3 linked regions of the Arabidopsis thaliana genome follow. The protein of the gene in region 3 interacts with the protein of the main gene of each other region in a pairwise test. Each region holds a gene or a part of one and is shown on either strand. Other genes may lie near its edges.

What was found.
Region 1: the proteins of WUS (region 3) and AT3G21330 interact in a two-hybrid assay, tested with the Arabidopsis thaliana proteins (one large-scale study listed by BioGRID).
Region 2: the proteins of WUS (region 3) and KAN3 interact in a two-hybrid assay, tested with the Arabidopsis thaliana proteins (one large-scale study listed by BioGRID).

The regions. Positions count from the first base shown.
Region 1 is NC_003074.8:7,505,545-7,509,746, reverse strand, and holds AT3G21330 (basic helix-loop-helix (bHLH) DNA-binding superfamily protein), read right to left. Parts: upstream 2,508-4,202; 5' UTR 2,177-2,507; intron 2,044-2,176; 5' UTR 2,028-2,043; coding exon 906-2,027; 3' UTR 561-905; downstream 1-560.
Region 2 is NC_003075.7:9,847,373-9,852,576, forward strand, and holds KAN3 (Homeodomain-like superfamily protein), read right to left. Parts: upstream 3,556-5,204; 5' UTR 3,327-3,555; coding exon 2,762-3,326; intron 2,624-2,761; coding exon 2,547-2,623; intron 1,767-2,546; coding exon 1,721-1,766; intron 1,643-1,720; coding exon 1,558-1,642; intron 1,347-1,557; coding exon 1,286-1,346; intron 897-1,285; coding exon 762-896; 3' UTR 561-761; downstream 1-560. UniProt on the Arabidopsis thaliana protein: Probable transcription factor that regulates lateral organ polarity. Plays a role in lateral root formation and development.
Region 3 is NC_003071.7:7,808,316-7,812,460, forward strand, and holds WUS (Homeodomain-like superfamily protein), read right to left. Parts: upstream 2,497-4,145; 5' UTR 2,357-2,496; coding exon 1,861-2,356; intron 1,259-1,860; coding exon 1,170-1,258; intron 1,079-1,169; coding exon 785-1,078; 3' UTR 556-784; downstream 1-555. Other genes in the region: AT2G17960 (uncharacterized protein), read right to left, coding at 4,065-4,139. UniProt on the Arabidopsis thaliana protein: Transcription factor that plays a central role during early embryogenesis, oogenesis and flowering, probably by regulating expression of specific genes. Required to specify stem cell identity in meristems, such as shoot apical meristem (SAM).

The sequences.
Region 1 (4,202 bases), on a different chromosome or scaffold from region 3:
AGTGTTATTGCGAATAAATAAAAAGTTGATAGTCAATGTACCCAAGTCAAAAAAACACATCCATCAAAAGAACTTCATAAAATACTATTAAACGAAAGAGAATGTGATTAAGGAGATTTAGGGACGAAATAAGACAAAAACCAAAAGACAAAAAAGAAGAATAAAAAGATGGAGAGTGAGATAGAGAAGCATGTGGTGAGCATTTTAGGGTGTACGAGTCAGGTGAAGTTATATTCTCAAGGTGCACGCCTTCAACATTCTTAACTCTTACTAAACTCCATCCAAACTATGTTTTGTATTTGAGCCAGACAAAAAAACACTTATGTGAAAATAAAATTATAAGACAATAATAAGTTCTTCCACTAAAATCGTTTTTTTATATGGATAAGTAACACAAATTAAATAACCTTGCATTATAGATATACGAAATTTATACATATTTTACAGAGACAGACAGAGTTTATTGAGTACCAAAAAAAGAGGATGAATATTAATTTTATATTTTAGTACTCCAAAAGAGTTCTTCAAGTAAAGCTAAACTTTTTTAAGTAGAGAGAGATGGAGGCACTTTCTAAACACTTTTGTTGATAATCATCGCTTCATAATTGCAATTATCTTACGCTATCTTTACTCTAATAAAGTAATAAAAGGTTGAAAATATTGCAGAGACTGTAATTAACCTCTTGCGGCTCTGTTTTTCACAATATTTCAACCCTCGAATTCCACAGATTCTATATAAAATACAAACTTTATATAAAAAGAAATGCAAAACAAAGACTGGAAAGTGTAAACAACACTGCCCGACACCACCCTTGTCACAGAAGTTGCCTTTCTTGAGAACTGCTAAAACAATCAAGACGCCATGATTCTGTTGATGATGATGAAACTCAAAAGTTTATAATCTGTCAACACTCTGGATGATGGATTTGATTAGGATTTTGCAATGGAAGAAAAGATGGGTGGAATAATGGAAACGATGTAGGAGCAGAAGAGAAAGAGAGATTGGTTTGGTCAAGCTTGGGTCTCAAGTTTTCTAAAGCTTTTACTTGTGCTCTAAGGAACTTGAGATAATTAGCAGCTTCATCAAGCATTGATGCAGTATCCATCTTCGTCCCACCTGGAACCAATGTTTGTAAAACCCTAATCTTCTCACTTATCCTCTCCCTTCTCTGTCTCGCTGCAACCGTTTGAGGATCCGTCGATATCTTGACGTTCTTCCTCTTAGGCTTCTCCACAATCTCTAACCCGAAATTCACCGGTCTAAATGCAGCCGCTCTGTATATCATCTCCTTCATTTGTGCAATCGCCTCAGCATCGGGCTCGACATTGTCAGACAAACAAGTTGAATGTTGGAAACTAATGTTCGAAGAACCGCCTCGTTCTTTCTCTGTTCTTGGTTTCTTTGATTTCGATTGATTCTCATCGTATATAAGCTTGAAACCTCCTTTCTCCGAATCATCTTGAGGATGAACAAGACTAAAGTGACTTCCTGTCTCGTCTCCTCTGTTTCTCTTCAAAGACTTAGGTTTTGTTGTTGTTGTTGTAGTCTCAGTAGTTCCTCCATCTCCTCCTCTGTTTCTCTTCAAAGGCTTAGGCTTTATCGTTGTTGTCGTCTCAGTAGTGATCTCTCTGTTCTCAGACTCTGCAGATGAGACTCCACCAAAGCTCCAAAGAGTCTGACAATCTGAGAAAAGCACAGATATTCCTTCATCGTCCTCCGTCGAGGTGTTGTTGCTATTCGACGTCGCAGATAACAAACAATCGAGTGATGATGGATCTATCGAGCTAGCTCTGTTGCCAACATGTTGCTGCTGTTGAATCTCACCTAAGACTCCAAGATCAGACATGAAACAGCTGCTAAGATTCGGATTAATGAGTTGGTGGTGATAAGAAGAAGAAGAACAGAGTTCTCGAGCCATTAGCTCATTTCCTCCCCAAATCAAATCTGATCCTTGATGCTCCATGATTTTGCTCTCTCGTGTCATTCCATACATAGCTTGAGCGTACACAGATTCCAATCCTTCCATCGGATCAAACACAATCCTAAAAACACCCAAAACAAAGACAAATGTGAGAGGCATACTTAGAAACAGAGCATATTTGTAAACAGACATGAAACCTAAATATTTCTTGTTACATGCAGGGAAAAATGATAAAAGCTGATCTTTAAACCAACCTCGTTGTAATAACGGCAGGACATGAAAAAGTGAAACCGGAAGAAGAGAACAAACAGATGAGTTCACAGGAAACTCTGAGAAACGTTTCTTCTGTCTTAAAGAGATGACACCCAAAAAGGGAAAGAAAGAGAAAACAGAGGAAAGAAACAGAAAGAAGAAATGCTCAAAAAGGAAAGAAAGTAAAACAGTCTGTAAATGAGGTTTATTTCTGTGCTGTAGACTTAGAAAGCTCTGTTTCTGTTCTGTTCTATAATGAGCTCTCTGCTAGAGTTATAGATAGTTTCTGTAAGAAAAGACTTGAAAGCCCTATACACCCCTCCTACTATTCATACTCAGATTTGTTATTATGCACATATTTATATATAGAATAAATATTAAATATATTTGTATATTTATTATATATATATAATAGTATTATTTTTAAAAAGGTCCCAACTTTCGATGAGATCAATTGTTCCTCTGTATCAAGCACTAGTTCTGTACTTCTGTAAATTGGTATGGATGGTTAACTTTAAGAATTAGGATTAGTGTAACTTTAAGAATTAAATCCCTATTTTGATATACTTTAAAACATATATATGAGCGCCGTCAAAGGAAAAAAACTTTTAACTAGTATACCGGTAAACTAATTAACTACTCAAACGATTAATTTTTATATTTTACTTTTGAGTTAGGTAATTTTTTTACCAAATTTTATGATGATCAAATCATTAATGGATGCGATTTAGATGATTTAACTATTATTTCCAGTGACATGCATATGCAAACTCGAATATGGAACGTTATCGACACGTTAAATTGAAGACGCCGGCGGCGACAACTTTACTTTCGTAGAAGATGAAACTATTGAAGTTGATCTCGATTAATTTTGCGATATATCTGATATCTCTAAGTGAGATTTTGTTGGATAATAGATACACGACTATCAAAATTGAATTTAAAAGTTGTCACCGAAACTAAACGTTAGAGTTTACAACACTCCCGAATCTAAACTTAAAACATCTCCTAAACCGGATTATTTAATAATTTCTTAATCCAAAATTATTTAATTTTTCATGGTCAAAAATAATGTCACACGCGCAAAGAGAAAAGTGAGATCACTGATTCATTAACCTAAAGCTAACCGAATGATTTGTATTAAAATATAGAAAATAATCTAGACGATTGAATTATATATTTATTTAAATGAGGTTGGTGTGCATAATAGTTTCTGCAATCGAAGAGCATCTTTTTTTGAAACCCTAGAAAATAGATATAATACTTGATAAAAATCATAGACTATATGATTATGCACTTGATGAATACTGAAAAGGGATATGTAATTAAAAATCTACGAGTGCTTGAGCAGAGAAAAAGGACTGACAATCCTTTTAGCGTCGTGCGAACTGAAAACTTTAAGGGAGAGATCGAAAGAAAGTTTTAGGTTTTGGATCTTTTATTTTTTGGTGAATAACAGATTAATGTTGATTGTATATTTTATTTTAAAAATGATCAAGCTGTAAAAGTAATTCATGATTCTATTATCTATACCATTTTCTTATTCTTTTCTATGTGTTTGTTTAATTTACCTTTTCGCTATCATCATCAGTCAATAATGATCAATATCCTCATCTCGATCTATCTAGCAACACTTTCTTGTATAGTTTATCTTCATTTCTTTTGGCTAGAACGTGTTATATAAAAATACCAAACACTCTTTTTGTGGATTTATTTGATTATATATAATCATGATATCATATATAATCGATGTGGAACACTTTTTGGAGTAGTTTTCGAAAACTTTGTAATTTCCATATACCAGTAGAGAAGTACATTATTAGTCGCTTCTTATTTCCCAAGTCGTTCCTCCTTAGGCTTGAAATAACCAACATTCGAGAACCTAAACCAATAACGCCAATATAGTTTTATTGTATATTTGTATGAACTTATATCTTTACTATGTAAGAACAATTTGTAGTAGTATTTATAATTTGAGATACTAATTGTAAATTTTGAACATTCTTTTACAATATTGATAACTTTCTA
Region 2 (5,204 bases), on a different chromosome or scaffold from region 3:
TCCAAATTGATTATTAAAACGGCTCAACTTGTGATAAGGCCTTTTCGCCGGTAAGTATTTTTCTTCATTTGCCACCATAAGATTATGATATTTGCGTTGTAGCTAGAAATAGCCTCCGATATTTTTACTGTTCAAATATACTTTTTTGCTATATTCATCTAAAGTATTTTTGATTTGACCAATCTAAAATTTTAGTAAAATATACTATATTTAAGTAAGATTATGTAATTACTACGTATTTTCATTATCATCATCGTATGCTTCATGTGTCTAAAGCTCTTGTTAAGGTTACCAATAAAAAGAATCTTCGTATGGTTGGTTAGTTTTCTTAACATTTGGAATTATGGATAGATTGTAATGTATTTCGTTTTATTCTCTTTTTTGGCTTTACTCAAAATGAATAATTAGAAGAAAAAATTAGTGAAAGTCTTCGTCGGGTCAACGTCACAAGTGTCAGACACGTGTCAGAGAACCATGTGTTAAGAAGTAAAGCAGTCCGATTTAGACACGTGGATGAGTCATAGCTTTGCATCGCTGTAATGATGACCAAATAATTTTATTCCCATTCAAGACAAGAACAAGCATCTCAAATTTATGACCCAAAAAAAAAAGCATCTCAATTTTACAGTACAAAAGGAAAAATGAATAAAGGAAGAAATAAACGTCATTTCATATATATTTTTTCAAAAGCATAAACTTTTAAGTTTGAGATTTATATAATTTTTAACAGATAATATGTATTTTTAGTATATATAAGAAAATTAGGGAGAGAGGTTTGGTGTAGCTAAAGTGAAATCAAGATTGGGAGTTTCAGTCTCTGGTCTTGTCCCTGTAAGGCTTGACGAATCTGACGACAACCGTTCGTTGCTTGGACATCTTCGATTCTTCCATTCATTCTGACATCATTTTAGAATAAAAGATTATATATTATAAGAATCATCTCATATAACATTTCATATATAGACTGTGTCTTTATTTTCAGTTTGCTTTCTATTTCAAAATTTCCAATTAAACTATTTTGAAGATTTAAAGACAATCAAATCTAGTGAATTGGGTTCTGAAAATAAAGTATCATAGATATCAACTCTCCAAAACAAAGTCTTTAATTTCTCTGCTTTTGAGACAAAATCAAAAGAAGAAAAACACTTTTTTACCCAAATGGAAGAGAAAAAAAGTAACTTATAATCCTTTATAAAAACTTTTTTTTTCTTTTTTTTCAGCCTCGAATTTTGCAAGTCCCGTTTTATTCCAATGCCCTTTTGGTTAAATTTTTGAAATCTGTTACCTCATTGGATGAAATGTCTACACCTGATGATGCCTTTGCCTTCAACTGGAACCGAGCTTCACTGTTTATACAGATTCAAATTATATCACATTGATTTTTTGAAGGAACAAAAAAGAATAATATAATGCTAATGATTTTGGCTCAACTAACATAATATTATATATATTAAGTTTCTCATATGATGCAAATATAGAAAGTTGCCTAATAAGTATATACATATCTGTCCAACAAATACTAAATTCTACTTAGGCAAATATTAAAACATAACATACCTTGAGGAGTTATTCCATAGACCCGTGAGATTTCTTGCTTCTCTCTCACTGTTTACTTGTGATCCATTCTCACAATCTGACTGCCCTATACACACACGTTTATCAGATGTATAGTATTTAACAGATAATTTAATTAAATCAAATACATAATCAATCAAATAACCTGATGACGTTGTAGGTTTTTCAGTAGACTTGATGGTTCGATACATCTGAAACATTATAGATTAGATTACTAATATTATATATAAGTGCTAGTTATAAGAATAATTAATAGTTATATCGATCAATACATACACATGAATTATATATAATGTGTGTGTGATGTTCGTGTGTTTAGACTTGTTCCATTCAGGCATTCACGTGTGTGTATATAAGGCTATAACCTAGATATGCACGCACACAGAGACAGAGATGGATAAAGTAAGAAAAAAAGAGATCAAAGTAAAACAGAAAGCATTTACGATTCATGAAAATGTGCAGCCATACACAGAGATGGGAGATGTGCATGGGTCTACGTGCCTTATTCTGACTATAGTCAAATTATGCAAAACAGCAACTTATATATTTGTTATCATTGAAGAATCATGCATATACATATATGTGTGCATATCAATCTAAATATCATCATTGAAGAATGATGTCTCCTTTGTACTTTTACTTTTCTACTGCATCTCTAGTAATAAAAGGACTCTTTCTCTTACTCTTTGTCTATATCTTGCTTTTGATTCCTTCTCTTTTTATCTTTTTTCTTTCTTCACTTTGTATATAATTTCTTTATATATATATATATATATATATATATATATATATATATATATATATATGGGGGCGACCAAAAGTTTAACCATGTCCAAATTAATCACAATTTTTCTTTTAGCCATTTCATAAAAAAGTGCAGTGGGTTTGGTTCATTTGCATATTCAAATCCATAATACAATAAATTCATTTATTTACCTATACATTATGTACCTGTAACTTAAGAAGATTACCTGTAGATGGGATTTAACATGAGCCAATGTGAGATCTTGCACATCCATCAGCTCAAGTACTGATTTTGGGGTTGCTCCTGGATATTAATCATAATTACTAAGTCAATAAAAATAGAATTTTTGATCAAGCCTATTCATTATTCTTTTTGTTAAAAATGAAAAAGAGATATAAATTCAATTAAATAAAAAGGGGTAATAGTGAAAAAGGACAATACTTTCATGACCACCCAATAATTGAACAGCGTGTACAAAATGGGCGTGGAGGGTCGTCGTCCACCGCATCCTTGGAGCCCTTACTCCTCTTTTGGCGGTGAATCTTGGCGGCTGCGGTTGAGCTTGACGCCGATGACGGTTGTGGAGATTAAAACTACAATTAGGGTTTGTGATTAAGCGACGACTAGCATGTTGACCGTTGACTTCACTGAAGAAGAAAGGATTGGGAGAGGTAGATGAGTAGTAGTAGTGGTCAAGGACTTGATTCTGGTAAAGAGGGATTCCTCTTATTGGTCTCATCATAAAAATAGATCTCAAGTCTTGATCGAGAGATTCCTTGTGTTCTTGATTACTATTAATCTTGGTGGCTTCATTGTTTGAAGTGAACTGGAGAGTGTGGATGAGATTATTTGAAGACTTGTTGTCTAAATCTGAGGCTTTACTCTGAAACCCTAATCTCCTTTCGACTTCTTGTTCTTGTAGTTCTTGACTTTCTTTTTCTTGTTCTTCTTCTCTTCTTCGGCTGATCTTCAAGTACAAGTCAGGTTGTGAAGGGAAAAGCTCCATAAGAAGAGAGAATTGGTGAATGATTTTGAGATAATCTTGATGAATTTTATGGGAAAAAGGAGGGGTATAATGTTATTTATTTCAAAAAGTTTTTTTTTTCTTCTTCTTAACTTAATGAATTTTTGTTCTTGGTGAGAAGAGAAAAGCAGTTGTAAAGAATTAGAGAGAGAAAAATAGGGATGGCAAAAGGTATGAGGGAAATGAGAAGTCTCTTTCTTCTCTGTTCCCTTTGAGAAAATGACACTTTAAGAGTCTAATAAAGGGGTTGGGTGAAACATGAATTTCCATTTAATTTTTCCTTTCCCTTTTCTTCATATGTAAAGGAAAATACCAATTTATATGGCATATTTTGTTACAATGTAGATATCATCTATCACATATCAGTATTTAATGATGGTATAATAAAACAATAATGTATGGAATTATTCGATTATTTGTGTTCAGATTTACATGTGAAAATGACACTTGTGTTGAAACTGAAAGATGCGTGTGTGTATATGTTTTTTTTTCCTGATAATATCATTGTAGAAAATTTAAAATAAGAATCAAAGGCTGATATTTTCTTAGAAAACAAAAAAGGAACAACCATAGCTACTTGTTTAGTTGTTGATAAAATGCTACTATATATAAAAAATACACCTGCATGAAATTTAAGAGATGAAGATACATTAAAACCAAAACTGAAGTCTCGTCGTCACTTGTTGTTTGTCTTGTTTATTGGTTTAATTCTTTGTCCTCCTTGAAATCGGAGTTTGGAATTATACCGAACATTACGAACTTGGTGGCTGGGTGCCTAAGAATAAATTGAATATGATATTGCGTCTAATTAATACCTGAAAAAGCTTTTCTTTTTCCTTCTATATATTGTTTGTGGAGAAAGTGATTTTGTTTACGTGATAAGATAAAATTTAAGGAAAATAAGAAATGGGAAAAGAATAATATCACATTGACAGTGAGATATCACCTTAAAATATATATTGTATATAGTTTCGATTATGTTTATTAGTAATTTTCAAAACAAGTTAACATTAAAGGTTTTTTATTCCACGAAGCATTAACTTCATTTCCATCAAAATACTATACGACATTAATTTAATTTTGGCCCTAGTGACACCGATAGACAGTCCAAGATTTGATTCCCAAAACGCCCTTTGATAATTCATGTCCCCTAAGCCCATACATCGACAGATAATGTTGGGGACGATCCTTAGATTCATTTGTTTTTTTTTATATTTTTCACATATTTGATTAAACTAAGAAAATCTGAATCCAAAAATAGGTTTCCGTAAAAGTCGAACCTTTTTCCAGTTTTAGTTCCGGCAGCACGAGGAACGATATAAGACAAACGGAAAGGAATTTTTATGGAAAATCGATAGAGAAAATAAGATTAAAGAATATAATTTAATTTACTTGATTGGAGGCACTACCAACCGACGATGCATAAGACAAAGTTAGAAGCTCAAAAACATTACTAGGTTAGGAGATAAAATCTTATTCTTTTTTAACCGAATCATTAAATAAATCGTATTAATCGAATCTTATTTGTTTTTCAGCAATCCGCGATTAACTATCATCACTAGTACTTGAGTTTTGTAGCAATGAATCTTATTTGTTCTTCTCGTCGTCACATACAAACAAGAAACTAATCATGATAAGTTCTGAGGGGTCGGACTTAAGTGACGAATAAATAGGAGAAATATCAAAAACTATTGAAAATTTATAGTGGTCAAATAGAGAACAAAGGTTCCCATCAATTTGAGTAAGTTACTCCGACACGGGGACGTAAGAGTGAAACCTAGTGAAAAGCATGCTGTCCACTTCACTTAGTGTAAAATTGTAAGACCTTTCAGGGCACACAGTTTGTTGTATATTTTAGAT
Region 3 (4,145 bases):
GTCGATTTGAATTGTTAAGTTAAAATTATCACTTATTTTGTATCTAAATCATTCCTTTTATTTAATTGGCTAACGATTAATATTAATTTATAATGAATATATGTTGAAATTGGCTAACGGTTACATAACTCAGATTTATTATTTGAAAATTGTGTGAGTTCGGATTGATAAATGCATGTAATCAAAATTTAGGTAGGAAAAAACCGCATAGAAATAATTGAGATTGATTTTGACCGTTCGTATTGATGTAATCAAAATTCCATGATTATCGATAGATCAAGCTGATTGCATAACATGAAGAAGAAGAAAACTTCCACTGAAAAGCAACTTGCTTGTTTTAGTTTTGAACTACCAAAAAACATTCAACTGTTCACAAGTTCTGTTGTAAAACAACTATTGTTGATTTCGGTTCAAGATCACGTTGTAATCGATAATTAAGATCATAACATTGTAATCAAATATAGTACATCTCTAGCATTTCTTTCATGCCTCCGGATCTGTGAGGAATTCCTTTTTAAAAATTTACTGAAATAGTCATTTCTTCATAGTAGTAATTAAAATTTTAACTTATTCATCATAGAGATAAAACGGTTGTCAATTACAATTAAAACCTAGACGATACTTAGCTAGTAATTACAAATTACACATAACGAGAGATAACTAGTTAACTACTAATATAACAACTGCATCATTAATCACTAGCGAAGCATAGTTGTGAACATACGAGTACGAAAGAGAGAGAGAGAGGAAAGAGCTTTAATCCCGAGCGACACCGGCGTAAGAGCTAGTTCAGACGTAGCTCAAGAGAAGCGCAAGGGCGAACTTCCGATTGGCCATACTTCCAGATGGCACCACTACCACCGTTGATGTGATCTTCACCGTGCATAGGGAAGAGAGGAAGCGTACGTCGATGTTCCAGATAAGCATCGCCACCACATTCTTCTTCTTCTTGATGACCTTCTAGACCAAACAGAGGCTTTGCTCTATCGAAGAAGTTGTAAGGTGCAGATGAGTAATGATGATCCATGTTTGCCCATCCTCCACCTACGTTGTTGTAATTCATAGAACAGTCTTGTTCCTTCACCCAAAAATTTCAGTTTCATTAAATTTCTATTCATATATGTAGTATAAATATTATTTGAATTAATGAATTATAGTTTGGTACGTACCATAGATCCATAGACATGGCTACTCATGTAGCCATTAGAAGCATTAACAACACCACATTCAGTACCTGAGCTTGCATGATTTAAATTCCCTTCAAACATATTAATATACGTATCATCAGTGATCATATATGTTGTGATTCCAGAATCCAGACCATACTATATACAGGGGAAAAGAATGAAGAAAGAGACATAAAATTAGTGATTTTTTTTCTACTAACCCAAATCCCTAATTGTGTTACAAGTCACAAATGAAAATAAAATGCACGTGAGTCTAGTTTCCATTACACAACAAAGAAACCGTTCTTTAGATGCAAATTTGGTTTGCCCCAATCAAGATCCATAACTTCAAATATACGTCATTACATGTACATAACATCTTCTTGGGTTTAATTATTTTTACTAATTCATGTAATAATAGATGGTGTGTAACATGTTCCTATAATATATATTTTAGATTTTTAAATCAAAACCATCTGAATAAATTCATAAATCAACAGCATTTTTTAAAATCTTTTTAACAATTAACATATACATATATCTATCAAAGTCATATATGTAGATCTTGTTAGTTTTTTTTTTTTTGTGTGTGCTAATTCATGTAATAGCTAGTGGTGTAAATGGTTCTCTTAGTAATTATAAAAAACCACCTGAATAAATTCATAAAAAAGCATGTATAAGAGAGATTAGTCACCGTTATTGAAGCTGGGATATGGCTTGTTATGATGATAGAGATGATGGTCTTGGTTAAGTTTAACGTTGACGGAATTAGCAGGTCTCTGCATGGGAACACCGTGATGATGGTGAAGTAGAGGATGATAATGATCGTTAGCCGCCATCATAACCGAGTTGGGTGATGAAGATGGTGTGGTCATGTTTGTTCCGTTGAATCTCTTCTTCTGACGCTCACGAGCCTTATGGTTCTGGAACCAGTAAAAGACGTTCTTGCCCTCAATCTTTCCGAACTGTCTCAGCCTTGCAGTGATCTTCTGGATCTGATCGGCTGTTGGTGACCGGATTGCATTGTTGTAGTAAAGTTCTTTGAGGATTTTGATTTGCTCCGTCGTCGGTGTCCACCTCGTGCTGGTCTGGCGACACGTGTAACCACCAGAGCCGGACTTGTTGTTGTTGTTGTTGCCGCTTTCTTGGTCGGCTTGATGATGATGATGCTGATGCTGTGGCGGCTCCATGTGTGTTTGATTCGACTTTTGTTCACAAAGTTAACGGTAAATAAGATCAAGACTTAGAGAGGAACAAGAGAAAGAGAAGTTTGAAGTTAGCAAGAAAACAACTTGCTGGTAGTAAAGAGATTTTAGGTTTTGTGTGAGAGAGAAGATTATATATATATAGAGAGATAGTAAGGTATTGAGTTATATATATAAATGGGGACCCAAAAAGAAGGTTTTACAATATTCTAGAAAATCAGTTATTCACTATATTATTCTTTTATGCATGTAGATATGATTTCATACATACAAAACCCTATTGAAAAATGTGCTTGGATATAAGAAATAAATTTTGCCAAAGAAAAGGATATAAGAAAGAAAAATAATCAATTGAATTAACATTCAAATAAAATGTTATGTTTAGGAAGGAAATTCTCTTGTCAAATATATTATTTGATTTTTTTTTATTCAGAGGAAAAATCGAAACTACTCTTGAGAGTTTTAGTGAGAATAATAATAATTTTTATGAAAAAATTTGTGGGGGATCGAATCAGAGGATATCTGGTGGAGAAGGATTGAAAGGGACAGAGAAGTTAGAAATAAACATGAAAATGGAAAGGGACAAAGGAGGGAATTAGAAAGGTGAGGGCATCATCGGTATTTACTTAGACGAAAAACAAACTCTCTTTTTTCAATTTCTCTGTCTCTTCACAATTATTACTTCACCAGCTTTAATTGTTATGTATCTGTCTACGTATGAAAGATATTTACCCATACACACAGAAAACAAAACAAAAATTCTAAAAGATCGTTATGAATTATTGTATCGTAGGAATGAAAGAAAACGATTATAATTTTTTTCTAGAATGAATAATAAAAAAAGTGAAAACCGTTTGATCATAAAAATACATTTTTCCTTCCTTATGGTCATGAGTCATGACACATAGGTGATATAGGATATTTTTCGTGGTGATATCGTCCGGAAATGTGTTGAAGAAATACTCTATATAATTTTACTTATGCTTTGCTTTAAAAGATATTAAAATTTATGTCAATTACAATGTGTGAAACGAGTGTGAAGACAGGTGTACTTATGAACATGTTGAGTATTCTTTAGTTAATTATATGCTCGAATTTATAGGAGCATGGATGGATCTTTTTGTATAAATGCGTGATTTATTCATTTTTTTTAAAAAGTTTGAAGGGCTTTGTTTTAGTGAATATGACTTTTGTAATTGAAAAGGAACAATACCCAACTTTTGTATAGTCTTATTGTTCTACGTAACAGCCACATATTGTATATAAAAGATATATAAAGATTTTTTTAGGAATCTACAAATTTCATAGAAGCTATTATAGTTTTTATGGGGAATGGCCCTGAAGATACGGCTGATAAAATATTTATTTTTTTTAAAATAAAAAACCAAAGATCCGATCACTGAAGTTGCTTGGCTATTTCATAGTATAGTTTTGTTTATATAGCCCCCATGATTTCTCGGATTCAACACAACGTGCAAAGAGTATCGGAAAATTAAAAATAGGTTTTACAAACTAACTATTGTAACTATTAATATTTGGAAAACAATCTAAGGATTGAAGTCTTAAAAAATTTTTTTTGTTAAAAGGTTAAGTCTTATAATCTTTTATCACCTAAATAAACTCAGTTGTATCCCAAATTTTTGTTGGTAAAGAAAGTATTTAGTTAGACTGGTGGATTACTCATTTTTTAACTTTAGTCGATTATATTGGATAAACTTTTGGATTCCATCCAATCGATATATCCGATTTGTAATGTCGTTTGGCATTTCTATCG